Diceros bicornis minor: one gene and its partners. The protein of the gene in region 1 binds, or shares a complex with, the protein of each later gene. Links are inferred from orthologs where the notes say so. Each region holds a gene or a part of one and is shown in the gene's direction. Other genes may lie near its edges. The genes, in order: DRC1, IQCG, TCTE1 and IQCD.

Region 1 (7,673 bases):
GTTTTCGGATTGTCGTCTTTGTTTTTCCTTGGTAGGTGCAAAAGGGGAGGGACCTATGGGGAGAAAATTAACATCCAGCCACTTGTCTCAGAGAATCATTGATTATTTTAGAGCAAAACAATTAAAGGATTTTTTTTTGTTTTGTTTAAGATAAAGATCAGCCTGCTTGCTCCTGGGTGTTCCATAGTCCTGTGATTTGTTTCAGAAAGCAGGGTACTAGGCAGGCGGCAGTAACAGCTATTCATAATATACTGCTCCGAACTCCCCCAGAACTGGTCCTGGCAATATGTAATAATACTGGGTCATAATAACTGGATCACACTTAAATAGTTTGTAAGGTGGTTGTTTCATACTCAAGAAACATTTTCCCATAGAAAGAGTTCATTTTCCAGGCTAATTCTACAAGAACCTACTAACCCACACTTAATACACCAAAACTACAGTATGTAAACCATAAGCTCTTATAAAAACTCTGATTTTCTAACATTGCTTCCGAGGAGAATATTTCTTATTTTTTACATCGGAATTGATCTCCCAGTTCTGGCAGTGGACATTTAAAAAAATTGTAACAGGTTTGAAGAAGGTGGAGGAGGAAATGTCCCATATTTAACCCAAGCTAGTTCTTGGCGGGCCATTCCTAATCCCCTGCCCACCCCTTGGCTGCCCTGGCAGTTGTTCCTCCCTTCTCTGCAGACCTCACACGCCTACCTGACACCCTGCAGGTGCGTACTAGGTGACCACACTTGGGTCTATTAAACTTAGACCCTGTGCCCCAAAGTGTCTTGCTTCTCTCCCTGCTCTCATCTTGTTTCTTCTGTTCCAAATTTTCTGAAAGAAAACTTTATAACTGCTTCTTCCATTTTTCTTCTTGCTTTTCTTCTGAAAGTTTTTCAAGACCTCCCAAAGCTTTACTATAATGACTATTTCCTAGTCATGTTCAACTTTGCAAGCTTTGACCCAGGGCAAGTGACTTATTTTCTCTAAGCCTCAGTTTCCTCATCTGTAAAATTGGATTAGGAATATTACTACAATTATGTGTTATGAAGAATGCATGTAGAGTGTTCAGCACAGGAGTAGTCTAAGCTAGGTGCTCGGTTTCTAGTAATACCTAGTTCTCAGTTTTTTACCTTTGAACTTTTTCCTCAGCCTTATGACCTGCTCATGACTTGCCTTCCTCCTTCCTCCTCCCTTCTCTGTTCCTTCCTTCATACCTTTTGTAGGCAATACAGGAAGATGATGGTGAGGCAGTTCTAAAAATAACTAGAATAAAATAAGATTGCCTTCTGAGAATCTATTAGTAAAATTCACACACATTAGGAGATAGGAATAAACCAAGAAATTATGTAAATATTTGATGAATCCTCAAACCCCAATTAAGGTGATTTGATGTAACCTTATGGATGTAGAATTAAGTGTGCGACTTGACGTAGCATGCTAAAATCCAACCAATGTATCATTATTTTTCTGGAAAAAGACTGTAAGCTGAAGTAGATGGCCAGCCTGTAGCATAGCAAAGGAAGCCCCTATAGCCAGGAGGTTTTGCATGTATCACCCAAAACTTACCGAGGCATGGGGGTGCCATGCCTCAAGGACTTGACCTGTCTAATCTTTGTGGCAAGTTATACCCATTGTAGGCCACTGAGTCTGTCACAGTCTGTTGTCCATTATCAAGAAGCTTCCCAATTATAGTTTGAGTCCCTTGTAGATCAGCCATGGAGATGTGCTGGTCACAGTCATAAAACACATATGCTCTGTGTGTCAGTTGTAGTTTCTTGCTCAAATTAGTGTATTCTCTATATATTTTTCTTTCATGAGTGTATTAGCATAAGTCAATTCTCAAAAGCAGGTCTGCTTTTGGAGAATTGCCTGCCACATGAGGACTAGTCTCTGAAGGCTAGTGAATCCTCAGCGACATCCCTCCCCGAATTCCTCTCATCCGTGACAGCCCTACTACTCTTGCTTGCTGCAGTCTCTTCAGGATCTGTCACTGCTCTTTAAAAAAATAATAAATGAATAAATAAACTTTATTTTTTATTACATCAAAAGTGATTTGTGTTCTTTGTAAACTTTTTTTTTTGAATAGAGAATGAAAACCACCCATAGACCCAACCCCTAGAGAGATCAACTACTTTGTGTTCTTTCCCTGTTTTTCTTGTGTACATACTACATATACTTCAAATAAAACTGGGATCATACTCTACACTTTGTGCTGCATCTTTCCTTCCTCATTTAATAGATCTTGGATGTCTTTCTAGGTCAGATTCATTCTTTGTGACTGCATTGTTTTTCATCCTATGAATGCTTTATCAGTTCTGTTGTTGATGGATTTTGGGTTATATCCAGTTTTTTAATAACGATAATAAATTTGATTAATTAATACAAATTATTGTAAATAAATATAAATATTAATAAAAATTTAATAAAATAAATTTTTAATAACTGGGTAATAACTGCCGTGAGCATACCGATACATTTGTGTCCATTTCTTGCATTCAGCAAATGTTTGTTGAGCACTCACTACATATCAGGTATTGGGCTAGGTGCTGAACATACAGTACTGACTAAAACTGATGTCATTTTGACCCCATGGAGCTATAGCCTAGACCTATTATCTCTCAAGGATAATTCTTATAAGTAGAATTGCCTAGTCAGTGCATATGCTTATTTAAACTGTTAACAGATATTGGCAAACTGTCCTCCTAAAAGACGCCTTTCCAGCAGTGAATGAGAGTGTCTTTTTTTCCACACCTATGAATAAGCTTTATTACTTACATAATTGAGGCTGTCTGTGACAGCAAGGAAGACGTCCCAGCTGATTGGAAGATGGCTGGAGAGAGCCAGGAAAGGAGACTGTCTTGAGGCTTTCATTGTGGTTAGGCGGTGGGGGCTGGGATGAGAGGACCCAGCTCACACAGTTGGAACCTCCTGCCAGCGCCAAAGTAGAGAGCACCCAGGCCCCCTCCCTCCTTTCTTTTAATCAGCTGCCGGGATCTGGAGCAGAGAGGAAGAAAGGCGTGAGGCTTAAAAGCTGTCAACAATCAAACAGCAAAAAAAAAAGAGTCAGATTCATTACAAAAGATGTCTGGAATGAAGGTATCTGGGGACAGCTCTAAGGCCGAGTATCTCATTGATCACTTTTCATGGGTTTTGTGGCACCCCTGCTCTCTCACCTATCTGTGGTGTAACAGCTGGTTCCCACTGACTTTCAGGGTATCCTGCTCCCAGCCATAGACATGCACACACACGTGTATTTGTTTCTCTTCTCACAGATGGTAGAAACACAGACCAGAACCTTGAAGAGTTCGAGGTCAAAACTATACCTTGCTCCTCTGATTCCATGGCCCCTAGGGAAGTTTAACGCTTGAGGTTACAGCCAGAAGAGAGAGATTTGGCAGAGGACCCTGAAGCAAACATCCCCTCCCCCACCCTGGGCTAGATATGGGACAAGGATCCAGGCAGCTGTTGGACTCGGCTGCTGCAAGATTTTGGCACTCCTAAATCTCTCTACCACTTGAAGACTTGGAAAAATTAATTAAAAAAAAAAGTACTCCATTTGACTCTGGGTAGGTCTTATTCACAAAGAGCTTATCTTCTTTGGCCTCACAATTGCATGTGAGTTGAGTAGGCAGATGGTACCATATAACAGTTGAGAAAATGGTCCTCAAGAAGTTGCGACTTACCTGAGGTTGCAGGGCAGGTCTAGGACTACTACCTGCATTTTCTCACTGCTCCAGCGCCCTTTCCCGAGTTTCCCACAGGACAGTGTGACAAGACTCCGTCAAACGTTATCCAGTTTGTTTTTGAAAGGGTTTTAATTTTCAATAAGAACACTTTTTTGTTGGCAATGAGACACAAAAAACGCCCAGGATATAGTGCTTTTTCAAGGGATGGTGCTTCTTTGAGAGTTTAATTGTGCTTCTGCGCTCTTAACTTTCATTTGTACCCCACCGCCCATCCCCGCCCTCACTATTTTCCTCTGTGTATAAGCGTGTGATTGGAAGTGGTGATGGTGGGATTCTCCTAGGTTTCAGCCCTACTGAAAATGGCTACAGAAGACAACAATCCCTTGCTGGATATAAATTTAATGATAGTGGTTGCACATTCTAGAAAAGATAGGGGCTCAATGCACAAAGTAGCTCAAAAATGAATGGATGACGAATAGATGTATACAATATACTTTAGTTCAAAGTATCTGAAGAGGCAATAGGCTCAGAGTAGACCTATTATTCTGCACCCTCCATGAGGAAAGGACAACGCTTGTATCCTCAGCTCTAGCACAGTTTGGCACAGAGTAGGTGCTCAATTATATTTGATGAATATGATTTTGAGGAATATTCATTTGATGAATGAATGGTGAATTAATAATCGGGGTGAGTAAGTGATGAACTACACTTGGTCCAGCTCTTCAGTCTTCCAGGCTCCGCTAATACGACTGGGCCTTGGTGGGGGCTCAAGACGGTACTTACATCCCAACTGCAGAAGAGAACGAAACCCGAATCTGCGCTACAGCGTTCGGAATGCCGGTGGGCGGGGCCTGAGCTGCGCGCGCAATCACTGCAGCTGCGGGTCACGTGACTGCTCTTCCCTGGCAACGGCTTGTTGCTACCAACGGGGCTGCGGTCTGGCGGTGGTGGGGCGGGGCTGCCTGGGGGGCGGGAGGCATCCGCTATGAATCCGCCGGGATCGCTGGGGGTGCTGGAGGAGAAGGAGGAGGAACACTTATCGACCCCGATTCTCGGGCCCTCGATACACTCTGATAACCCTCAGGAGCGGATCCAGGCCCGGCGCCTCCGCATCGCGGCGCGCCTGGAAGCTCGGAGGCGGTGAGCGGGGTCTGGGCGGTCCGACCGCGGAGCGCCTGGAGTGCCGGTGACGCAGTGCGGGGCATGAGGGCATGGCTTCCCGGGGCGGGCGCCCCTGTGGGAGGGCTCGGCGTGCCCCAAATGTGAGCGGGCTTTGTTGATTGATGAAATGGAAAACATTTCTTCCAGAGGGTTCAAGTAAAGTATGGGATATTAGAATGTTCAACACACTAGTAAAGTCAAAGACGGAAATAATAATCCCGTCTGCACTTTTATTGAGAGCCCGCCGTGCCAGACACTGTGGGCAATCCACCGAAGATGCAGGAGATCCACCACTAGCCCTCAGGGGTCTGTCTTTCCTCCTTCCTTCCCAGCCTGCCTCCCTTCCACAAGTATGTATCCAGTGGACCTCAGCTACCACTTCTGCTGGTCTCAGTGGCTTATCTGCTTGTGGACACAAACCCTCATTCCCAAAGGGTCTGAGACTGATAACCATACCCTTCTCAGGCAAGAGTTGCTGCCCTTGTCCATTCGCAGACACAGTGGGCTGTCATAATGGGGTACCAAGAGACACTGCGTGATCCCCTGAATTCCTTAACACTCTCACTGTGTAACAGCACTTATACCTTGTCCTGCTGGTCAGGGTCAGCTGCGCTGCCAAGATGGGACTTCTCTTCTTGTCTGCTGGCCATCGGACACAAGGGGCCCAAAGTGGCATGGCAGTATTCCAACAAAACTTTCCTCATGGACACTGAAATTTGAATTTCATGTAATGTTCACGTGTCACAAAATATTCTTCATATTTCGATTTTGTTTCTACATTAATAAACTTCATTTTTTTAGAGCAATTTTAGGTTCGACAGAAAAATTAAAGGTAAAGTACAGAGATTTCCCATGTACCTCCTGCCCCCACACATGCTTAATGTCCCTCACTATCAACATCCCCTACCAGAGTGGTACATTTGTTACAATTGATGAATCTGCATTAACACATCATTATCACCCAAAGTCCATAGTTTATATCATGGTTCACTGTCGGTGTTCTCTGAATTTTGGCAAATATATAATGACATGTATCCACCATTGTAGTATCATACAGAATAGTTTCACTGCCCTAAAATCCTCTGTGCTCTGCTTATTCATCTTGATCTTTTTAAAAAACCGTTTAAAAATGTAAAAATCCTCACCTGTAAGCCATACAAAACAGGTGGGTCAGATTTGGTCCACATGCTGTTGTTTGCCAACCCTGATGTAATGGATCACTGTGACATTCTGTGGAATGTCCAGATGGTCCTGATCTGTTCAGACTATATTTTGACAGAGATCGGGAGAATTAACATGGCCTTGTGAGTGTGAGGGCTATGTGAGTATATATTATTATCTGTTCCATGTAAATGGGAACTTCCTGATCCTTTTTCCTGATTGAGGTAGAAAATAATGCATTTGGTCAATGAGTGGCCACGTTCCATGCACCTAAGGCCACACCGATCTGCTCTAGTAAAGGCTGCATGGCACTTGCAAGGCAGCTGCCATCAGGACTGCTACTTGGTTGAGCTTGCAGTAATTGACGATAATTTTCTCAGATCTATGCAGTTTTTGCAGGGGCCAGACCTGTGAATTAAATGCAGACTTGATAGGCACCACCACTCCTGCATCCTTGAGATCTTTAAGGGTGACACTAATCCCCACCATCCCCCTGGTCTGCGATATTGTTATTTTATGCACTCAAATGCAGTTTCGGAGGGGCCCATTTTGCCTTCCACACCATGATAGCTCTTACCTACAGACCAAGGACCTAATGTGGGAGTTTCTTAAATTTCTATGTATGTTGAGATCACTCTGGTGGCTCTTTGGGGAATGGTTTGGAGGAGCCAGAAGTGAAAGTAAGGAGACTAGTTAGGAAGCAGTTGCATTGGTCCAGGTGAGAGATGAAGTTGGTCTGGGCTAGTTAGTGGCAGTGGGTTTGGAGAGAAAACAGATGTACTCAAGACATATTTTGGAGTTGAAATTGACTGGATTTACTGATTGATTGGATATGCTGGTAAAAGACAGGGAAAAAGCAAGAATGGCTTGAGCATTTAGGTAGATGGTAGTGCCTTTCGTTGAGAGGGTAAAGACAGTGATGGGGGTAGTGAGGCTGGAATTGGAAATCAAGAGTTTGGTTTTGAACATATTAAGCAAAGTTGGATTTTGTAAGACATTAAAATTGAGATGTCCGATAGGCAGCTGGATATGGGTCTTAAATGCAGAAGAGAATTCTGCATTAGAGATATTAGTGCAAAGAGTCAGCAGCCTTATGATTGTATTTAAAACCATGGGACTGAATTAAATTACACTGAGAAAGAGGATAAAAAGAGATGAGAAGAGAGTTCGTGACCAAGCCCCGAAAAAGCCCAGCATTTAGAAGTTGATAGCAGAGGAAACATTGACAAAGGGTCATCTCTGTCATATGAAGATGGGGTTAGAATGGCCAATTGATGCTGGTGAAAAAACAAATCTGTGAGATGCAGTGGTGTACCTAATGAAGTTAACACCTGGAGCAGGTAATTTTTAAAGTACAGATAATAATAATAGCCTGAAAAGAAAAGTTTATTGAACTTTGTTTATATAACCATGCCAATAAAATTTTTTAAAATAAAATTTACAGTACAAAACAAGAAAAAGCTAATGGATCAATACTTTTAAATTACATTAATGTATTTTTGGGAAAAAAAGGAAGAAATCATATGAAGAAATGTTTCCAAAAGAATGAATTCTGCAAGGTTTAGAGAACGAGTTGCATATAGAATGATAGAATTGAAATAACTCAAGTTCGGTTTCTCTGTGTTTTCAATAACTGGGCTCTTGTTGTTTATGTCATGTCTCTTTTCT
Region 2 (7,558 bases), on another chromosome or scaffold:
TCCTGGAACATGCTGTTTCTCCATTTGTCCAAAAGCTTTTCTGAGGCTAGGTTCAAGTGCTCCATCACTATAAGCCTTCCAAGATACTCCTTTCCACTGTCCCCAAAGCTTACTTGTCCCTGTCTCCCACCACCTAAGGCCTTATTAAAATACTTACATCCTATCCTCCTATTGTCTAATGTCTGTAATTGCCATTACATGTAGCTCTCTGGCTTCCTTATACTCTGAAAATGCCTGATAAATTTGAGCACATAGCAACTAAATTTTATGGCAAAGAGATTTTTAAGCCATTTAATAAAAATACAAGGGAACAAATCCAGTTTTATTTATTTACTTTTCAATAAGTTTAAATCCTTGAAGGGTACAGCATCTGGGGGGGGAAAAAGAACACAATGTCATTAGGTGCATGTTACATACAAATTTACAAATGTTATCAATTACTACAATATGGATAAATCTCCTTCCGTTGTCCCATTACTCTTTTAAGATTTTTTATTTTTATTGAGGTAACATTGGTTTATTACATTATATAAACTTCTGCTGTGCATCATTATATTTCAATTTCTCTGTAGATTATATCATATTCGCCACCCAAAGACTAATTACCATCCATCACCATACACATGTGTGAATCACCCATTTCACCCTCCTCCCTTCCCCTTTGGTAGCCATTACTCATTTCTGAAAGGTGTCCAATGACAACTTTTATCCTGGTGGGGAGGGAATTGAGTTTTTATAGCCTCAGTCTCTAGGTAAACCCGCTTTGATTAGGAACAAGTACTGGGAGCAGTGCAAGTCCATTTAATTTTGCTTCTCCTACAGAGTAAAAACCTCCTCTGATGAGAAATCTCAACTGCTCAGCAGGGTTCAAAAGCACCCTGTGACCTCAAGAATACGGCCATGCCTACTCTAAATGAATCCTGACTAAAGAAAACAGGAGCTATTTTAGAAAATCACAGGATCTGGAGTCGAAGACTTGGGCCAAAGTCCTGGGACTGAGAAACATGAGCATCAGTTTTCTTCCATAAAATAAGGCTAATAACACCTATATTATAAATTTATTTTTTTTGTAATGAAGATCAGCCCTAACATCCATGCCAATCCTCGTTTTTTTTTTTTCTCCCTTTTTCTCTCCAAAGCCCCAGTAGATAGTTGTATGTCATAGTTGCACATCCTTCTAGTTGCTGTATGTGGGACACGGCCTCAGCATGGCCGGACAAGCGGTGCGTTAGTGCGCGCCTGGGATCCGAACCCAGGCGGCCAGTAGCGGAGCGTGCGCGCTCAACTGCTAAGCCACGGGGTCGGCCCCCAATAACACCTATTTTAACAAGACTGTCATGATTAAGCAATAGGAAAATATTAAGAATTATGCCAGGAAAACGTATGTTGAATTTTTATTTTCTAGAAAATACTTCAGTGCCCAATATCTTTGCCAGAAAACTGTTCATTTAAATGATCCCCCCCCCCCCCCCCCCGAAGCAGCTTTAACAAAATCTGAAATCTAGGCACAATCCATTTGAATACTTTGCCTTCACTTTCTTTCTAATGCCAAAAAGCTGAAGTAGCCACTAATTTTGCAGCATAACCTACAGGCGATGTTTTATAATCACAATAGTTCTTAGAGTGAAAGCCCAACCCCTTGAGCTTAGTTTGACTCAACAGAGTGCCATACTGCTAATAACTGTACTTACCACACGGATTCTGTGTCCAATCGCCTTAGCAGGAAGGTTGCTTCGGAATTTGGCACGAACCATGCCACTGTTTCCATGAGCACGAGTTACCTTTCCCCAGATTACTCTGGTTTTGTTAGGTTTGCCACCAGGAGTCACTGTGTTGCTTATTTTAAAAGGGGATTAAAAAAAAAAAAAAAGCATGAGAACCCAGGCAACAATGTGATAGAAATTCAAGGTGATCTCTAGACCAGTGGCTCTCAACCCTAGTTAACCACTTAGTCATGGGGGGTGGGGGGGGCAGGAGGAGTAGGGAATGGGGGGAATCTGGGGCATAATTTATTCAACAAATCTTTGAGTACCTACTGTATGCCAAACACTTATAAATGTAATTTTTTGTAATTTTGTAAAACACAGCCATTTACAAAACATAAACCTCTTCCAGAGAATAATCAAGTAATAAATCAGTAAATATATACAATGTCACATGGTAATAGCTACAATATTGGGGGGAAAAAAGCAAAGTGGGACAAGAAGCGTGAGAATGTTTGTGTCCAGGGAGAGGAAGGAATTTGCAATTTTAAACAGCCAGAGAAGTCCTCATTGAGAAGCTAACACTGGAACAAAGACTAGAAGATAAGGCAACAGCCTGTGTTAAAAACCTGAGGAGGTTGTGTCCCTGGCTTGTGGAAAGGCAGAAGACCCCAAGGGTGAATCCTAGCTGATCACCCTAGCTGGGTTAAGAGTAGAAACAGGGAGCCCTGAATGCCCAGGGTCTTAGGGGCTCCTTAACGACTTTGGCTTTTACTAAATGAGATGGCTAACAGTTGGGAGGAGTTTGAGCAATATACAGATGATCTGACTTATAATTTTCAAGGCTCACTCTGCTTGCAGGAGGAAAGGCAGGGCAAAGATGAAAGCCTGTCCCTAGAGATTTTAATTGGTCTGGAATGGGTTTAAGAACCCAGGATTAAGAACCAATGCTCTAGAGAGAGAACATGTTTAACCATGTATATATAACATAATTTCAAGGAATCAACAAAATGAATTAAGGCACATGGAAAGTGCCCTATAAAAACTTAGGATCATAATATGAGAACTTGGCTCCGTCCTTGAAACAATTAACAGCTGGAATTTTTCTAAGCGCAGAAGATACCTAAATCCACCACCACCCACAAAAGTTACATCCTTCTAAAACCTACCATCAGGTTCCTTCAAGACCCAAAGTAGAAGCTACAACAGTACCAACCACTTTACCAACATCTTTTGTTTATTCTTCTTTCAAAATGAAAATGAGACAAAAATCAAAAAGCATAACAATACTATAAACTTACTTCTTTGCTTTGTACACGTAAGCACATCTCTTGCCCAGATAGAATTCAGTTTCATCTCGAGCATAAACACCTTCAATTTTAAGAAGGGCTGTGTGCTCCCTCTGGTTCCGGAGACCCCGCTTATAGCCAGCAAAAATGGCCTTCGACCACAGCCTACGACACACAAGACATATATTAACCATAAGCTGTTAAAAGATCTCGTTTAACTTCAACAAACCACCAGTATGATTTGACTTGTAACGACACCTACCCAAAAGTTATCTATACCAAACATCGAATTTTTTCCCCACTAGTTTTAAGTTTACATTTAGGTTCATACCCAATAAACAAAAAACAACTACAAGTACAAAGCAATTATATTTAAAACGCGTACCTTCCAGACATACTCGTCGTTTTAGAAGTCCTGTCTCCGGCAGGCCTTAAAACAAACAATCAGTTTAAAATCTTGCAGCGCCCGTTTCCCACCTAGTCCCTCCCGTTTCTTAAACCTGTCAGGCAAATCGCTTTTTGATCAGCATGTCACGTTAAGACTATGGGGAAATATAATTAAGCCATCACATCTACACGAAGCACAGTATGGCAAGACACCCCAACCTCAGAGAATGCATGATACCTAGGCAAACTCCAAAACGGAGACAAAAATGATTGTCAACACCCGACACTAAAAGAAATAACTCTTACAAACTCCAAAAGGAAGCCCTAAGAAAATTCATGCCACGATCAGTAGAAAAAAATGAAGGCCAAGGAGTCACAGAAGCACGCAGAAAACAAGACTTTTAAGCACTGAATGGGAAAATAAACCTGAGGAGAGAGACTGTAGACAAGTAAGACAAGCTTGGAGTAGGAGCAAATGGAAACAGAACCCAGCCTAAAGGAGTCACAGCCTCAAAAAACGAGCTAGACGGACAAAGTGCATCTACTTCACTCCGCTAGGGTCCAGGAAGCAACTCCGATTACCGGAGCACCCGTTCTCCGGGCGTCAGGAGACCAGCACCATCAGCCCCACATCTCCTCCATCCTGTCCTCTCTGTTGCTGGAATCCACAGAAATCACTGACTGGCAGAGCCCCCGAGCCGCAGCAGTACCTCGCTCAGGCATAAAGTTGAGCCCATCCCAGTTATTTTCCCCCAAAGTTCAGCAACAGCAGACGCCCTCACCTCCACAGCCTCCAAGATGGCGGAAAAAGAAAGTGGAGGCCCCGTCGCGCGGCCTTGTGGGATAAACATGGGTCCGCCCCCAGTTTAGGCATCTTCCGCGACCGCCGGGGGTGGGGGGGGGGGGAAGGCCTCGGAAATCGTCTTCTGACTGAAACAAGCAATGTTAAAGAGCACTTTTAAAATTATTTCCCTAAGTCCTTTTATCTTTGTAAGCTGCAACATGTATTACTTCGGAACAGAGGAAGGCAAAGTGCTAGACAGCTAAAGGATAAGAAAAGGTGATCGTTGCCATAGAAACACCTTAGTTTGGTTCCTGTGCGTCGGGTTCTGTAGGTGGGTAAGTGAAGCCAGAGTGGCGGCCCCCCCTCGGCCTCGAGTACCCCAGATTTGATTCGCCAACATGGGGGTATCTTTCCCTCTGACCACACAGGTAAAGGCCAACGGAGATTCTCGGATCCCAGCCTGGAAGAGAAAGGCCGAGAGCACGAAGGCAGGAGGAGCTGTTCCTTTTCTTTACCTTTTTTTTTTTTTCTTACTCCTTTCCTCCTACTCCTTTATCTCTTCCAAGAAATGACTTAAGTTCTTACCTCCATCCTTCGTTTTGCCCCCGATGGTGAGGAGGACTGCCCTGAAAAGACTTTACTGCCTTTTAAAGATAACTCATTCAGCTGCCAGGCAAACTCTCGGGGCCCCCAGCACCGTGCCCACACGTAGTAGGTCTTCAGTAAGTACTTGTAGACTAGAATAAGATAGATCAGTAGACATCAGAGATTTACGTTTCCTAATTATTGCATATTTATTTGGGTTACCCTTTGGATTCATTCATTTTTTCAACAAATAGTTTATTGAATGACTGCCATGTACCATCTTTGTTCCTGGCTCGGAGGACGCTGCAGTAAACAAAACAACAGAAATCTCTGCCCTCATAGAGCTTACATCTTAGTAGGGGGAGCAAGACAATAAGCAAGTAAATGGCACATTGGAAGGAGATGTGAGACAAATTTTCTCAATGGAGAAAAATTAAGCAGGGAGGCCACTGTAAGGGAGGCTTTTACTCTGAGACGAGAAGCCATTTGAGGGTTCTGTACAGAGGAGTGACTGAGTCACTGTGTTGAGACTGAAGGGAAGCAAGGCCAACAGCAGGGAGACCAATTAGAAGGCTATTATAATGATCCTGATGAGAGATTATGGCATGTAGAGAGGGGTGATGAGTACTGAAATTCTGAATATATTTTAAGTGTAATGCTGACAGGATTTGCTGATGGGTAAGGAATGAGAGAGGAAAGAGTAAAGGATGACTCCAAAGTTTTGTGGAATAGATGTATATAAATCATATTTAAAATCAGATCCTCTTTTAAGTGCATCAGGATAGAGATTATCTACCTTAGAGCCCTATCCCCTATCCAATTTTCTCTGTCCCAGAAATATGCTAGAAATCCCACTATTAGAGATGTACTAGAAATCCCACTGTTAAATGTGCTAGAAATCCAAGTGTAAGTACTCCTGAGAAGAATAACACATTAAGTGTGAGTTTCATTCCTTTGTTCATTCATTCATTCGACAAATACTTATTGAACACAATGCCTGAAACTTAGGATACAATAGTGAGCATCATTATCAGGATTCCAGCTGTCATGGAACTTAACAGTCTAGTGGGGGAAACTGACATAAACATTACAAATTGTGAAGAGAGCTGTTGAAAAATAAGAGTGCAATGAGTGCTTGAACAGAGGAATCCTGATCCAGCCTGATGAGTCAGGAAAATGTCACTTGCAGAAGTGTCATTTAAGGCATTTTACAAACTGCAGGTGATGGCCCATTAGTAGATCATGATTATAATATTTTTTAAGTAAAATATGCTAGAACTGAAAATATCAGAATGTATCACACATGTTAAGGGTAAGTTGTTTCATGAAACTTTTGTTTCAGTTATTTGTATGTATGTATATTTATATATAAGCTATATGTAAAAATGTATGTGTGCCATTGTAGGTCATTGTATCAGTCAGTGTTGGCCTGGAAGGAAACAGTTGGCAGAGATGAAAATTTACTAAAGAGTCTGCTTACAAAGGTGTAGGCAGGAGTGAAACTATGAGAGATGATGCAGTCTCCAGAAACATGTGGAAGAAGAAGTTTCCTGAGTCCCCAAGAGACAGCAAGATGGAGAGGATTGCCTGATGGGAGCCATGGTCTTTGATAGAGAAATATAGCCGACCATTGGTGATCTGACAGGGAGGGAGCTGGGAGAATAAATACCTATCCTCACTCTCCTACACTTTGTACCTCTTTCCGGAATCTCCCGTTGGTGCACTCCATTTGGGTCAGTCTCTCAGGGCACAGAAAATGGTGGAGATTGGACCTAGAGGGGCAAATGGCAGATACCTGCAAAATGCCACTGATTTAATCTGGTACCTAATAGATCAGTGGGACTTTACAAGGTGAAAAGGTGAGGGGAAGAGTGGTTCACGTTGAAGGAATAGTGTAAGCAAAGACCCTGAGTTGGAAGGGAACATGGTTCCATAGAAGAAGTGAAAGAAGCCTATTGAGGCTGGAGCCATGAGAGCAAGAAAAAGGCAGTGCCAGAGGGATCTGGAGAGAAACAGAGGGGGCCAGATCATGTAGGCCTTATGGGCCATGTTCAGAATTTTAGTTTTTGTCCTAAGGCAAGGGGAAACCATTTAAGGGTTCTAAGGAGAGACATGATCAGATTTTCAATTTTAAAAGATCAGTCTTTCATTTATTTTTTATTTTTTAATTTTTTTTTTTGGTGAGGAAGATTGGCCCTGAGCTAATGTCTGTGCCAGTCTTCCTCCATTTTGTATGTGGGACACCTCCATAGCATGGCTTGATGAGCGGTGTGTAGGTCTGCGCCTGGGATCCGGGCCTGCGAACCCCTGGCCACCAAAGCAGAGCAAGCGAACTTAACCACTACACCACGCCAGATCAGATTTTCATTTTTAAAAGATCACCTCCAATTTGGAGCCTGTTAGAGTAGTTCAAGCACGAAACAACAGCAAGTCCATCATGGTGTTGGGGGATATGGAAATAGAAGGTCAGGTCCACAGGACTTGGTGATGGTTTGGATTGGGGGAATGCTGATCAAGATGAAGGAGGAAGCAGGAATGACCCCTGGGTTTCTAGCATTGAGGAACGAGAAGCCAGAACAGCATGAAAGCACTGGATACTGCGTAAGCATTGCCCTGTCTTACCTCTGGGAAGCACATTTACCTATGCCCCAAGCCTAAAAAATGCAAAAATAAAGAAACGACAACACAGCAAGAGAACAAAATCTTCTTAACACCGCGCTACTTCCTCCTAAGACTCCTAAGACAGAAAATTTGGCTAGTTTGGAGTATCTTTTTTTCAGTTTACGTAAAGATTATGTTTTATATGCTTG
Region 3 (7,257 bases), on another chromosome or scaffold:
CCTGATCCAGTGCTAGAGGGTAGGTTGACATCAGGCTTAGGGCTGTGTTAAGGAGCGCAGTGGAGCCTGGAAGCTTCCTGCCTGGTGCCAGGTGTCAGCCTTGTTTACATCCTGGAGAAAGGTGCAAGGTGCCACTCCCCAGGGACACCCTCGCCCACGGCTCTCCTGCAGGGCCTGGGGTCAACAGAAGGCCTCAGGGGAGTTCCAGTAACTCCAGCGGGTCCTTTCCACCCTCATCTTCCAGAGGAGACTGACTACTGATGCTTTTCCTGTTTTGTCTTTCATTCACACCTCCCACCCCCATTTCCACACAAAAGGTACCAAGAAGAAACAGCACTCCAGTCTAGGAGCCCTGCCGGGGTCCCCCACTCCTCACTTTCCCCCACAAAAGCCCATCCATACCTAAAGGTCCGCCAAGAGCACAAAGCATGCCCCAGGGCCACAGAGTTCCACTGCCACACGGCGGCCCCACATAGCGCGTTAGATGGAAACTTCCTTGCGTCAACCCTGTGCCAAAGCGCCTAGCGACAACCGTCGAAGGAGAGCCCCGCGTGTTTGCACGCCACACAGCTGAGACGCGGGCGCACGCGCGGGCGTACACGCGCACGTGCACAGCGGCCCTCGGCCCCGCCCCCTGGCGACGCGGGGCGTCCCTAACGACCGGGAGGCCGCGCGGGGCCTGCGGGAAGGCGAGCGCCCTGGCACTGGGAGCGGGTGAGACAACTCCGGGAGAGAGGACGCTCAACCCCGGGTCTCCCCTGGGACTGACCTCTCCCTGCCCCCACTCCTGGCCGCGGGGCGCGGAAGCCCCTCCGGCGCCATCAGCCCACCCGGCCCTCAGCCCGCAGGGGCCACAGCCTGGGCTCCCACATTCGTGTGGCGAGGAAGGGCCGGTCTGTACCTCCAGGAGGCTCCCACCCCACCCATTTGAGGAGGGACCCGGGCCCCCCAGCGCCCTCCCCCGCTACCGTCACTGTCTGGAAAGTGGTGCAGAGGCTTAGGGTTTGCGAGTAAAGGGAGGGGGACCGTGAGAAGGAGGAAGGGGAAGGTCGTGGAGGAGAGCAGTCCTAAACTGGGGGTCGCAGTCTCCTAAGAAAGGCTGACCCCCATCCCTAGCTCCTCGGGCTGCAATTCCTCCTGCAGGTCCGGAAGCCCCCGCACCTTCCCTCCCTCCCACAGCAGGGAGGTGCAGCCTTGGTAACCGAGGTGCAGCCAGGGCTACTTCACCACAGGTGGGCTGGGGGAAGGACTCGCCTTTGGAGCTGAGCTTCCCTGCTGGGGGGGTCCAAGCCGAAGGTAGGGGTGAGGGGTGGAGAGGGAAGCCGCTGGAGTCCCTTCTAAGACAACAGACCTAAGTGGGCAGGAGTTGGGAGGAGGGCCAGGCCCATGGGTGTGATAAGTGTGCTGACTGTCCCACTGGGTTCAAGACCAGCATGCTGGGCCTGGGATCTGTCAGAGAAACTTTTTGCCCCTCTTTTGTGACTCCACAAACTGGGAATTCCCAAATGGGAATTTGGGAGTGACTTGGCCTGAGGTAATGTCTGACATGGTGGGCGTGAAAGAGATCAGAGGAGATGTAGACAAAAGCCCCCGGCCCTGGGACAGACGCCTGGGGAGGGCTTTCCTTAGGTCATTTTGGGGTGAAGAAGAAGCTGGCTGAGAAGGCAAAGGAAGCTCAATCAGAGAGGTGGGTGGACAGCAGGCTGGGGGGTAGCCCATCAAAGCTGAGCCAGCCCAGAGGGAAGTACCCAGGGACACAGAGGTGCTCACGGCCTCAAGAGAGCCAGGCGCTTCAGCTTCTCAGTTAAGAGGAAGGGAGGTGAGGACAGTTGAGGGCCAGGGATGTGGTGAGCAGGAAGGGGAGAGGGCTCCTCCCCAGCATCTTCAACCTTTCCATTTGGGCAGATGAGAGGAGCCTCTGTCCAAAGTGGTTAGATTTAACTGGAGACTTGAGAAGGGTGGAGAAGATCTGAGACCTCCTCTGAGAGGAGGGAATGTGCTAGAGATTCAAGCACTGACTCCTAGGTCTGTGACAGCATGGGGGGCCTGGCATGAGCCATGCATGGGGCAAGAGAGCACAGCTCTGCAGTATTCTCTTGGGTCCCCATGGGGCCTCCAGTCAAAGGATACAGGCGATGATCCAGTTCTGCGGAAGGACCCCGCACCTGGCAGTGACTGAGGGGGACTCTGGGCTGTTTAGGTCAGCACAAAGGGGTAACCCTGGGCTCCACGATGGTGATGTGACGAGCGTGCTCATGAGCTGGAGAAAGTGGGAGGCCCACTGGAGAGGTGCGGTCCGACCGAGTCAGGGGCAATTTAGGAAGAAACCTTAACATCTTATTATTTGTCCATGCTTTTGTGATGGAAGTAAGGGAGAGCATTGGACAGTCATCAGCTCAAACCTCAGCTTCTCCGCTCACTAGCTATGTGGCTCTTAGCAAGTGACTTAAGCTTTCTAAGCCTCTGTTTCCTCATTCATGAAATGGGGATAATAGTGTTATAACAGTAATAATCCTCAATAATAAATCTGAAGATTTAATGAACTTTCGTAGGTAAGGCATCTAACATCTTCACGTAGTTTGCATGCTGGCTCTGGGCCCAGCACTATATGAAATGTCTCACACACACATTAGCTCCTTTAATCCTCTGGATAATCTTATGAAGTAGGGACCATTATTTACCATCCCCATTTTACAGATGAAGAAACGGAGGCTTAGTGGGATGAAATGACTCGGCCACAGTCTCACAGATGCTTGGGGGCAGAGTGGAGAGTTGACCTTAGGTGGTATAACTCCTGATTCCTTAGTGAGCTGCTCCGCTGCCTCCTGCTGTGCACACACTATTGAGGGCCTAGAACTCAATAAATTGTAGCTGTATATAGGCAAGGGTATGGTTCCCAGAATACTTGCCCCCAGACACAGGCCATCAAAAATGAAGACAACCCTGGCCAAACTGGGTCTTCCCGTAACTTTATATGACCTGTGCTTGGGCATGTAGAGAGCAGACCTTAACACCTAACCCTTTGAGTTATGGCCTGAATGTGATTATGGCCTGGGCCTGAAGACACAGAGTGGGGACCTGGGGGAAGGAGGATTGGCCTTTCCCAGGGATCGCGGTCCTGGATTGGGTTAGGTTGATGCTGGAAACATAGCATGTGAAGCCCAGCAGGCCCGTGAGACAGATGCCCGGAGATGAAAGGTCACTGGGCACATGCCCACTTTCCCCATCTGAGGGCAGGCTGTGCCCTTCGATGGGGACACCAGGTGGTGGCCCAAGAGGCACTCACTCCTCATGGCCCGGACCTTCTCTCTGGAATGTCACAGAGGATTCCTGCCCTGGAGAAGGACCAGAGTCTTGAACACACTTCCAGTCTTCAGACTCTGGGATTCTCTGACTGCCTCATGGGTTCCCCAGGGAGAGGGCTCCAGAAAGGAAGGTGACTGCTCTGCCATTTCTGGGGCTGCCCTCTAAGGGCCCTTGGGGGCTGTCTGGGTGCCCCTGGGCCCCTGGCTACCCTCCCCACAGGCTTCCAGGGAAGATAGTGCCACCTACCACCACCCTCAGCTGCAGACTGGTGATGCCCAGGCCAGACTGAGGCCACCCTGGGAAGCAGGTGGAGTTATCTCAGGTCTCTTGCCTCCTCATCCTCCTGCAGGCCCTCCCCACCTTCTCCCCACTCAGTGGTACATTCTCCTTGCCCCCTTCCTAACTCTGCTTATTGGATCTGAAACTCATTTACACTGAGGTGTGGATGACTGATGAGAGGGGATATATATATATAAAATTTCTGTACACTTAAACTGTCAAAGAATAATATATATCATGACTTCTACGTTTTTTTAAAGTTTGCTACATTAGTGTCAGTATATATTTCATAATTTACTCTGCTTTTGTTTGACCTAAAATGATGAGATGCATTTTTAAAAAGCAGTTCGAAGTTAACATGGATATATCCACAGACACATGTATGTAATGTTAAGATTTCGTTTCTTTTAGGGGGGAATGTATTTTAATGTAACAGGGATGAAAGCCTTATGTTAGGAGCTCTGCTTCCCAGGGAGCAGGAACGTGCTTTCTTCTTTTCTAGTGGAGGGTGGGAAAGTGTGGGGAGGGGGACACACGGGCGACTGGGAGGAGCAGTGCACTGTGGTTGGAGGCAGGACACTGCCCTCAGGCCCTCGCCCAGCCCTCCTGCGTGTCCTAGGCCAGTCATTTCCTGGTCTGGTCCTCAGTTTCTCCATCCCTGCCTCCACTGTAGAGTGGTTGTAAGGCTCAAATGAGAAGAGTTCTGAAAGGAGCTTGTGACTGTTAAGTGCTGAGCACACGTAAGTGCTGAGCACACGTAAGTGCTGATACTGTCCGAAGGCTGGAGAGATGGGAGGGGAGACAGGAGGCTCAGGGTGGTCAGGAGAGGGAGAGGCCACAGGAGTGAGGTGTCAGGCCCTGTGTATAATGACCTGGGCCTTTGGCCCTTTTCGGCCAACCCATTGAACTATTTTGTCTACTGATTTAAGACTTTTCCCGTAATTTCATTCACCAAACTTTGAGCCTACCCAAATGGTCAGGGCCCTTTGGTCACAAAGGGACAGAAACCCAAGTCTTAGCTTCAGCAAAAGGGACTTGTTAGAAGGCTGCCAAGTTAGGTCTGAGAACCGAAGGAGCCGCTGAGGAAGCAGGCAGTTCTGGGGGCCTTGGGGACTGAAGGTACCCGGGAGTTCTCTCTGTCTCCACCAGGCTTCACTCCCTCCTGCTGCAGACAGGCCTTTTCCCTGTGAAGGAATATAGCTTCCCGAGGCAGGGGATCCATATCCTTCAAGGACATATGTCCTTCTGTCTTCCTCCGCTTGGACAAATCCCAAGAAGGACTGTTTGGTTTGCATCAGGCGGCCACCCCTGGACCACTCGCTCTGACCAACACAGGATACTCCTATTGGCCAGAATCTATTATGAGAACGGGCTGGGGCAGCTCAAAACACCAGCTACCTCACCTGAAGCAGACCTGACGCTGGGCTTAGAGGGATTAGAGATAGAGATGAGTAAGAAACAGCCCCTGCCCCTTGAGAGCTCACAGTCCAGTGTGGGTGTGGGGAGAGGGTGGTCAATCGGATCACTGAAGTGACCCAGGTCCTGGGGGTCTGACCAAAGGAGGGGTTGTTTGGGGGACGGGGGACGAGAAGGGCTGAAAGGCTTCAGAGAGGAAGTGATGCTTGAGCTCAGACTCAAAAGACCAATGATGGTCCCTTTCCCAGGCTGAGATGGTAGGAAAGGCATTCCAGGCAGAGGGAGCAGCTTGAGCAAAGGCTGGGCAACATGAGCCAGAGGCAGTGTTCCAGAAGCAAAGAGGAGTTTATTTCAAACAGAGCATCACGTCAGGGAGGACCTTCTACAGTGAGTTGAAGAAGCTGGGCTGTACCCAGTGGGCGCTGGTGAGCCACCGAAGAGCTCGCACGGTGGCCTGCCGTGGCCGCTGTGGGAAGGCTAGATGTGAGAGGACCACACTGGATGACAGACCCAGGTGCTGGACAGCTGAAGCTCCGATCCAGGCAGACAATGAGGCCCTGAGCTAAGGCAGCAGCAGGAAGGGAGAGGAGGGCCTGCTGGGGTGGGAGGCAGAACGGAGGGGATCCAACAGTAACCAGATGGGGGGGTCTGAAGGAGAGCGGTGATGCCCCAACTTCTGTTTCAGGCACCCGGAAGCATCCTGATGCCCCTGGCCAAGGTAAGGCGCCAGGAGGAGGAGCAGCTTGGGGATGCACTGAGTTCTTTTGGGGGGCAGACTGAGTTTGAGGGAGCCGGGATGCATGCCAGTGGAGCTGAGTCTGGAACTCAGAGGGGAGGTGAGAGCTGCAACCCATCAACAGGAGTGAGGCGGGGCTTCCCAACAGAACCCTGAGGGACCACAACTGGAGCCGGGAGGCCAGAGCGAGAGGATCCTGCGATGCAGACTTTTTGAGAATGATGGGAGAGGCAGGAGGAGAGCCGAGAGAGGGGCAGCAGTTGAGAAGGGCAGGGGGCAGGCTCATAACCGGGCCACACTTGACATCATCTTTATAACGTTAGCAACAGGGGGGCAAGGAGTTCATCTTACTCATTATCCTTTTAAATATATTTTGTTTGATGTTTTATTAGTTTTTCAAAAAAGATGTTTTTAAAAAAACATTTGGAACTAAAATCCTCCTTAGAAGAATCCTCTGTGTCTAGTAATAATTTGCTTGCCAAAAATATTTTTGTAATATCTATTTTTAAAAAATCAAGAAGTAATTAAGTGAAACTATCAACTCTGACATTAGGAGGTTAACGGTTTCAACATTTCCCTGACAAGTGACGTCAGGCCTCGTGGTATGGAGGTTTCCGTGAACACTGCAGGACGGAAGGGACTCTTTTTTATGCCAGTCATGCGCCATGCACGTGGAGCACACGGAGGGATGCTCTGCCCTGCATTCTGAGGAGGTGGCTCAGGGCCCTGGAACCTACCCTGGGGCGGGTCCTGCAATGTCCTACCCAGAGGCAGGCTGCCAGCTCCCAACAGCAGCAACAGCTGCTCTCAGGAAGAGAAGCCAGGTCCTAAGACTGTGAAGCATTCATTAGGCAGTGAGACCAGGGCCACACGGTTCCAGAGAGCATCCGCCTGTCCCCAGGTGGGGTTTCCCAACATGTGGCCTCCCAGGAGGAAGGAGAGGGACCACCTACCAGGATGGTAAGGCTGGGCACTATTGTGAGAAAGGCCTGGAGAGCCGGCTCCAGGGCAGCACCGGCCAGTAACCTGGGGCCCCCCTGCCAAGCTGGGTTCTGCTCCCTTGGGTGTGGCCCGCAAGGTGACTTAGGATGCATCTGGGACCAAGGGGAATGCTCGAATGTTTTAGGTCAGAACTTGGAGGGAGCCCCGGGAGCCCAGATACGGAGCTGGCAGGAGCAGGGCTGGCCTGCTGCCTCTTTGCTCTTTCTCTTGCCCAGACTATCAGGCCCCTCTGTCCTTCTCTCCAGACCCAAACACCACCGCTGCCACCTTGCCCTTCACATCTCCCCGAGAGCTAGGGAAGGGCCTCGCTCACAGATACCATCTCAGGTCCGCGTGCAAGGAGCAGGTCTCCAGGGTGTCTTCTCCCCAGCCTAAGACCCCTGTGCTTCATCCTCCACACACCCACTCCAGTATTCTTTTCAGATATTTTCTGCACAACAGCCTGCATAGGAGGCTTATCCTATTTTATCCTATTTTACAGATAAGGAAACTGAAGCTCAGATAGGTTAAGTAACTTG
Region 4 (7,174 bases), on another chromosome or scaffold:
TTAAAATTTTAAAAATTTAAAGCTCGCAACCTCTCTTGGGTTCCCTTTGTGCTAGGCTTTGGTTTAGAGGAAGACAAAGCAAAACCCCAAACCCTCAAATCAATGGATCCTGGCAAAGGCTTGCCCCTTTCCACCCCATTCTGGCAACGCAGGCACCAAGCTCCAACGGAAAGCAGCAGTCAACTCCACTCTCCTGCCAACGGTTTCAGGTTGGGGCAGACGGAGGCGGGTGTTGAAATCGGTTTCCTTTTTTAACAAGGAACTGGGCAGGGAAGTTCCTGGGCAAGGAACCTAGCCTGGGAGCAGGTTAACCTGAAGTCCCCGCCAAGCATCCCCGAACAAAGCCAGGGTACTCAGGTGCCAGGGAGGCAAGGCGCTGATGGGAGCGAGGGCCCCGGGAGGGCAGAGCAGCCCCCGGAAGCATCCAGAAGCTGGGATTAGGACCCCACAGTCTCCCAGTAGTTTGTGAGAACCTGGAGCCAAATGTGGGGTCAGGAATTAGGGTACACACATCTACTATCAGACCACCACGCCCACAACTCGCCCCTTGAAATAGAAAAGTTGCCCCCCACCAGCCCACCCCACGTCTTACTTCTGCTGGGCAGCTCCTCTCGGCCCAGGCTGTTGGACGGAGCCAGTGGGGCACTGCCACCCTCGTCCAGGGTCAGGATGAGGGGCACGTCGTCATCCAAACTCACAGCCATATGCTCTCTTCTCCTACAGCCCTCAGGATGCGATGTCCAGGGCTTCAAACAGCCTCTGCTTGGAGCTCCCTTTCAAAGCCACTGGCCCAGAGGTGCTTCTCAGAAACTCCTCCATTAGAGACATCTTCTAGACAATAAAAGATAGACAGGGATAAAGAGAGAGATACAGATGAAAAAGAAAGAGAGACAATTATCAGAATACAACCACTACTGATGAAAATGTTCTGGAATTAGATGGTGGCAATGGTTGCATAACCTTGTGAATATACTAAAGACCACTGAATTGCACCCTTTAAAATGGTGGATTTTATGATATGTGAATTATATCTCAAAAAAATAAAGAAAAATATTGCAATACAATAGCATTAAAATATGGGGAAAAACTCTGCACGAACAAAATCTGAAAGTTAGGGGTAATTATGTCTGGAGCTTCAGATTCTGGCTATGTTCCCCCTCCACCCACCTTACACTGGTGTTTTGAGTTTTGTAAAGATTTGAGACTTAAAAAAATACAACTGTTAAAATAATAGTAGCTAATACTCAGTGAGCACTTACTGTGTACCAGGTATTCTTACAGCAATTTTTAAGTAAAGCTGATTGAAACTTTATTAATAGACAGGTAGGATTATTATCCTCCATTACAGAGGGGGAGGAGACTTTAGGCTCAGAGAAGTTAAGTAACTTGCCCAAGAACCCACAGCTATAAAGTCAGGCTTTGAACTATGCAATCTGACTCCAGACCCGAGCTCCTAGCCACTACACTAGGATTCCTCCAAGTCCTAGCCCTGGCGTTCAGGCAGCACCTCGCCCCAATGACCCGTAAAGAGGCAGGGTGCCAGGTCATCTATGCTCGCCCACAGCCTTCTCATACAGGTGTTATTCTCCTCGATTTAGAAGCTTGAGGAGGGCCGGCCGTGGCTTAGCGGTTAAGTGCGCGCACTCTACTGCTGGCGGCCCGGGTTCGGATCCCGGGCGCGCACAGATGCACCGCTTCTCCGGCCATGCTGAGGCCGCGTCCCACGTGCAGCAACTGGAAGGATGTGCAGCTGTGACATACAACTATCTACTGGGGCTTTGGGGGGAAAAAATAAATAAATAAAAATCTTTAGAAGTTTGAGGAGGAGGGCGAAGAGAACAAGAGTGTTTTTTTAAATGATGTCCAGAGTCACACAGCAAAAGCGCTCATCCTGAACTCTCAACTGAAAACGCTCAGAACTAGGCAGTTACAGGTCCTATTTATACACATTCCCATTTCCGCTGAGGAGGGCCAAAAGAAAAGCAAAGACTCAGCAGATCTGATAGCAGACCTTTGACCTTGAAAACAGCAGCAGATTCCTTCCTCCAGCTGGACCCTTCTGGGCTTAGTCAACTTTGCCTCCCAACTCGCCCACTGAATGGCCACCTGGAAATTGACCTCTTCCACAAATCATCAGAATAACCCCAAGCAGACCCCTGTGCATCAACATCCTCTCAAAACAAGGTAGCAAAAGTGAGCACCATTCCCTTTACTGCTAAGCCTGCAGCTCTCAGCCCCGCAAACTTCCTGTGAGATTTTTTAACATTTCCTCCAGATCTGGGGACCTATTCTGCTTTTAAATCTCAGTTGTGGGGAGACAGAAGAGGAAACCCCAAATGAGACACTACCATTAGACTGTCTTAAGAATTACGTGTTTTGGGGCTTTTTTTTTTTTCTTGGTTTAACGTTCTACCACAGGTATTTTCAAACATACTCAGAAGTAGAGAGAATATGTAAATGAATTTCTTTGTATCCATCACTCAGCTTTGACAATTATCAATATCTTTGTCATTCTTTCTCGAATTTATTTTGAGGACAGGAGACTCTATTAACCGTCTGAACTCAAGAAGAGGTTTCTGATCATTATCATCATAACGGCTAGTGGCTTTCATTTTAACTGTTTAATATATAACTGCTTGTATGCATTGTCTTGGCCCTGTGGCTCTCAACTGGGGTGATTTTGTACTCTGGGAGACACTAGCAACATATGGAGACATTTTTGATTGTCACAACTTGGGGGTGGGGGGGTTAGAGGGAGAGGCCAGGAACCCAGCTGAACATCCTACAATGCACAGGTGAGTCCCACCACAACACAGAAACATGTGGCTGAGAACGTCAGTAGTGCTGCTGTTCAGAAATCCTATTTCATTAATATCCCCACTTTACAGATGAGGAAGCTGAGGCTTGGAGGAGATAACTCAACTTGCCTCTTGTAGGTAAACAGCAGGGAAGTGGTGGAGACCAGAGTCGAATCCGAACAGATGAATTCAGGGACCTTTCCCGGCTGGACCCTATACCGCCTCCCAGGAACAGGCTCCCAATTTGAATTCAAGCCCATCGTGTTACAGAGAGGGAAAAGTGAGGCCCAGAGGGGACAAGCCACTTGACCAAGGTCACACAGTGCAGGACTCCTGAGTCCCAGCCCCGTGTTCCTTCCGCGGGCTTTGCTTCTGGCTCTCTAGAGGACCCAGAAGGGAAGGGTCACCCCTGGGGACACGTCCCAGGAAAGAGGGCCAGCAGCCTGACCGGGGCACGAGTCTCTGGCGGGCTGGGTCGCCTGAGGGCGCCAGGAAGAGGAGCAGACGAGGGAGGAGGAGCGGGGAGAGAAGTGCGGGCTCCGGCTCCACGTGCTCCAGCCCCGGTCTGGGCCCCGCGTGGGGGTCGCCCCGGGAAGCCAGGGGGCGAGCAGAGGGGGTACAAAGCCCGGGCCCGGGCTGGAGGGAGAGAAGCCCAGCGATGACTTCCCCGCAGCCCCTCTGGGCCCGCCCAGCCCGCCTCCCACACCCCAGCGCCCAGCCGCAACCCCTTACTCCGCGCCCTCTGGCCCCTGACCCCTGCCCTCTCAGGCAGCCCAGCCCCCGTCCCACTCGGATTCTTACACGCGCCGCCCCAGCAACCCGGACCGCGCGCCAGGGTCCGCACCGCGCAGCCCAGCCCGCCGGCGCCGCCGCCGCCGCCAAAGCCGCGAGCCCGGAGCTCTTGCAGCCGCCGCCGTTTCAGCCGCTGCCACCACAGCAGCTGCGCCAGCTCTCGCGTCCACCTCCTACCGTCCCCTCAACTCCAGCGGCCCCGCCCCATTTCCCCTCCGCCACGGCCTATTGGCTACCTAGGCTGCCATGGTGAACTCTGATTGGCCAAGCCTCACGTCCTTCTCCAGTTCTCGCCCGCTGCCGAGGCAGGACTCCCTACCCGCCTCCTTGTAAAGGGGCGGGACAAAGAAGCCCCGCCCCTTCCCCTTCTGCGCTCCCCGCCTTACTCGTTCGGCCCAACCCAGAGGGCGTCCCGGGTCTTTCAATTGGTGGAGGGTCAGAGAGACGGTGCTCCTGATTGGTCAGGCCTCAGGAGGTGGGGCTAACTGGGCGGAACAAGGAATTGAATGGTGAAGAGGAAAGTCAGTCAGACGCCGAGTCCCGCCTTCCGAGGTGGGTAACCTAGCAACGCAGGTACCGCGGAGGTAACTGTGGGTAGAGAAACCAGGAGCTCTGCGAGCAGGTGAGTGACCAGGTGGGGAAGGGCTAGAGATGACGGGGAGATGTGGAATGGGGTCTACCCGCTATCCTTTGGCTCCCTGAAGAATCCGTAGCCCGCAAGGCGATCCTGTCCCCGCCCCAGGACCGTGCTCTCCAGCCCCTGCCTCTGTCTGGACCTCCCCCTCGACCGCCTGCGAGGACCACTGGACACCCTCTTCGGTGTCTCTGCCTCTCGCCTGCCCGTCCGCGTGTCCACTGCATGGTCCCGCTTCCTCGTCCGTAAAACGTGGGTGATACTAGTCAGATGGAGTCGCATCATAGTTAACTAATTTCAAGTCAAACATAGGTGGTGGGGGTGAGAGGGTAGTTTATAAGCCCCCTACCACTCTACCCAACGGCCAGACATTCTAGCATGAGCGTGCAGTGAAAGGCATCTCACTTGAGTGAGTGTTAAAGTTAGGTCATTTTGATTATACCAATTTTTGCCTTTAGAGTTTAACTCCCACCCTTGTCCTTAAAATGTGATTTTGTTGCACATACTTAAGACAAAGGGTTTGTTGTGAGGACTGAATGAGGTAAGGCAATGGAGAGCTTGGCATGGAGCCCAGCAACATAGTAAGTGCTCATTTAATAGTAGCAATTTTTTTCTAAAACTCACCCATCTTTGACTCTTCTGGCTTAAAACAATTCCAAGGGAGTTATCGTATTCCATATCTTACATATTCATATATTCAACAAGTATTTACTGAGTGCCTACTACTGGGTGCAAGGGTAGAGCAACCAATAAAAAACTTTATTTCTCCCCCCCATGGAGTTTGTCTAATGTGGGAGAGAGTCATTAGTCAAATAATATACAGATAAATGTAAAGTGACACCTGTGGAGATTCACTTCCAGAATGATGGAATGAGGAGGTTGACAAATCTTTTCCTCAAAAAGCAATTATAGTCCATCGATGGATGAATGGATAACTAAAATGTGGTATACGTACAATGGTATATTATTCAACTTTTAAAAGGAATGAAATTCTGATAAATGCTACAACATGGATGAACCTTGAAGACATATGCTGAGTGAAAGAAACCAGACACAAAAGTCATAGAGACAGAAAGTAGAATAGTGGTTGACAGGGGCTGGGGGGAGGGGGAAATGGAGAGTTAGTGTTTAATGGGTACAGAGTTTCAGTTTGGGATGATGAGAAAGTTCTGGAGATGGACAGTGGTGATGGTTGCACAAGATGCGAATGTAATGTTAATGCCACTGCACTGTACACCTAAAATGGTTACAATGGTAAACTTTATATGATGTATATTTTACCACAATAAAGAAAAAGCAACTATGAAGCTGAACAAAACTATCTAGCGCTATATTAGCACTCTGAAAATCAACCAAAGGCATACAACAAACAGAGCATTTATTCGTGAAAACTTCTGAGCCTTAAGTTTGTGATGCACTTACCTGGGGCTTCTCCAGTTTCCCCACCCCCAGTTCTATTTGCATAATAGTTCAACCAGGGCGAGTAGCCCATGAAAACCAGTCTGATGGGGCTCACTTGATTTGGAGCATTGTTGGCTAAACTGGCAGTCTTGGTGGCAAGAGATCAGGGAGAGCCAGCAGCTCCAGAAGTCCAAAGTTGCAGTCCTACTTGGGGACAACAGTGGCCTGACAGCTTAGAATCCTGGGAAGTGAGGCAGCCATAGGGGGCTTGATAAGCTCTCTACATATTCTGGTTGGCCAGGGCTTATGCACATGTGTAGTAGAGACTAGACCAGCCCAGGCCACTTACACATCCCTGGCCAGTGGAGCCTGTGTAGACGAGCAGAGGAGACACAGGGGGGTCCGGCAGAAACTAAGAGTCAAGGCAGACTTGAAAATGACCTGAACATTGACTGCACTCACCAGCAGAGAACAGAAGCCTTACTAGCTCAAAGTGTTAGAGCACAACCTCTGACCAATTTTTGGCTGAATATTAAGCTATGCAGATACAGGGGCGACCCCTAGGAAGCCAGGTTTAGAAATAAAAATGAGAAAAAAAATTGAACAGAGACATCAGTAACCGCACGTTGTGGAGGAGACCAACTCGACAGATTTAGTCCGGGAAGTAACTTAACAAACACCCAAGCAAAACAGTAACAAGGACGACAATCATTAGGAAGAAAAAAAGTTGAAATACAGAGTTGCTACAAATTTTATCTAAAATTTTCAGTAGTCAACAAAAATTGTGAGATGTGCAAAGAAACAAAGAAATGTAAATATCCTCAGGGAAAAAAGCAATCAATAGAAACTGTCTCTGTGTGTCCCCAGATGTCGGCTTTAGCAGACAAAGACTTCAAAGCAGCTATTATAAATACATTCAAAGAACTAAAGGAAACCATGTTTAAAGAATTAAAAAACAGTAGGATAACAATGACTCATCAAATAGAAAATATTTAGTGTTATTCTAAAATAGATTGTGATAATTAAGATGCACATTATAATCCCTAAATCAACCACTAAGAGAATAACTCAAAAAAATAGTTTAAAGATCAACAGAGGAATCAAAACAGTGGGCTAAAAAATATTTATTTAACACAATAAAAGGCAGTAAAGAAGTAACAGGGGAACAAAAAAAGACATGAAATGAGACAAATAAACAACAATAGCAAAATGGCAGATGTAAATCCAACCATATGAATAATTTTATGTAAGTTATTAAGTGTAAATGGAAAAAAACACTTCAATCAAAAGGCAGAGATTGTCAGACCAGATTAAAAAAGCAAGACCCAAATATATGCTTCCTGTAAGAGACACACCTTAGATTCAAAGACACAACTAAGTTGAAAGTAAAAAATTGAGGGGCCAGCCCCATGGCATAGTGGTTAAGTTTGGTGTGCTCCGCTTCAGCAGCCTGGGTTTGCAGGTTCGGATCCCAGGAGCAGACGTACTCCACTCATCAGCCATGCCATGGCGGTGACCCACATATAAAGTGGAGGAAGATTGGCACAGA

The links.
Region 2: DRC1 (region 1) and IQCG share a complex: the UniProt entries of both Homo sapiens proteins name them as parts of the nexin-dynein regulatory complex. The link is inferred for Diceros bicornis minor from reciprocal best matches to the Homo sapiens genes DRC1 and DRC9.
Region 3: DRC1 (region 1) and TCTE1 share a complex: the UniProt entries of both Homo sapiens proteins name them as parts of the nexin-dynein regulatory complex. The link is inferred for Diceros bicornis minor from reciprocal best matches to the Homo sapiens genes DRC1 and DRC5.
Region 4: DRC1 (region 1) and IQCD share a complex: the UniProt entries of both Homo sapiens proteins name them as parts of the nexin-dynein regulatory complex. The link is inferred for Diceros bicornis minor from reciprocal best matches to the Homo sapiens genes DRC1 and DRC10.

What each region holds. Positions count from the first base shown.
Region 1 is NC_080751.1:56,337,506-56,345,178, reverse strand, and holds the start of DRC1 (dynein regulatory complex protein 1), read left to right. Parts: upstream 1-4,668; coding exon 4,669-4,823; intron 4,824-7,673. UniProt on the Homo sapiens protein: Component of the nexin-dynein regulatory complex (N-DRC) a key regulator of ciliary/flagellar motility which maintains the alignment and integrity of the distal axoneme and regulates microtubule sliding in motile axonemes.
Region 2 is NC_080754.1:26,646,711-26,654,268, forward strand, and holds the start of IQCG (dynein regulatory complex protein 9), read left to right. Parts: upstream 1-4,540; 5' UTR 4,541-4,591; intron 4,592-6,922; exon of another isoform or gene 6,923-7,349; intron 7,350-7,558. Other genes in the region: RPL35A (large ribosomal subunit protein eL33), read right to left, coding at 347-370, 1,692-1,836, 3,005-3,157, 3,378-3,388. UniProt on the Homo sapiens protein: Component of the nexin-dynein regulatory complex (N-DRC), a key regulator of ciliary/flagellar motility which maintains the alignment and integrity of the distal axoneme and regulates microtubule sliding in motile axonemes.
Region 3 is NC_080753.1:21,572,209-21,579,465, forward strand, and holds the start of TCTE1 (dynein regulatory complex subunit 5), read left to right. Parts: upstream 1-4,255; 5' UTR 4,256-4,325; intron 4,326-7,257. UniProt on the Homo sapiens protein: Component of the nexin-dynein regulatory complex (N-DRC) a key regulator of ciliary/flagellar motility which maintains the alignment and integrity of the distal axoneme and regulates microtubule sliding in motile axonemes.
Region 4 is NC_080774.1:11,198,092-11,205,265, reverse strand, and holds the start of IQCD (dynein regulatory complex protein 10), read left to right. Parts: upstream 1-4,153; 5' UTR 4,154-4,212; intron 4,213-7,174. Other genes in the region: TPCN1 (two pore channel protein 1), read right to left, coding at 593-704. UniProt on the Homo sapiens protein: Component of the nexin-dynein regulatory complex (N-DRC), a key regulator of ciliary/flagellar motility which maintains the alignment and integrity of the distal axoneme and regulates microtubule sliding in motile axonemes.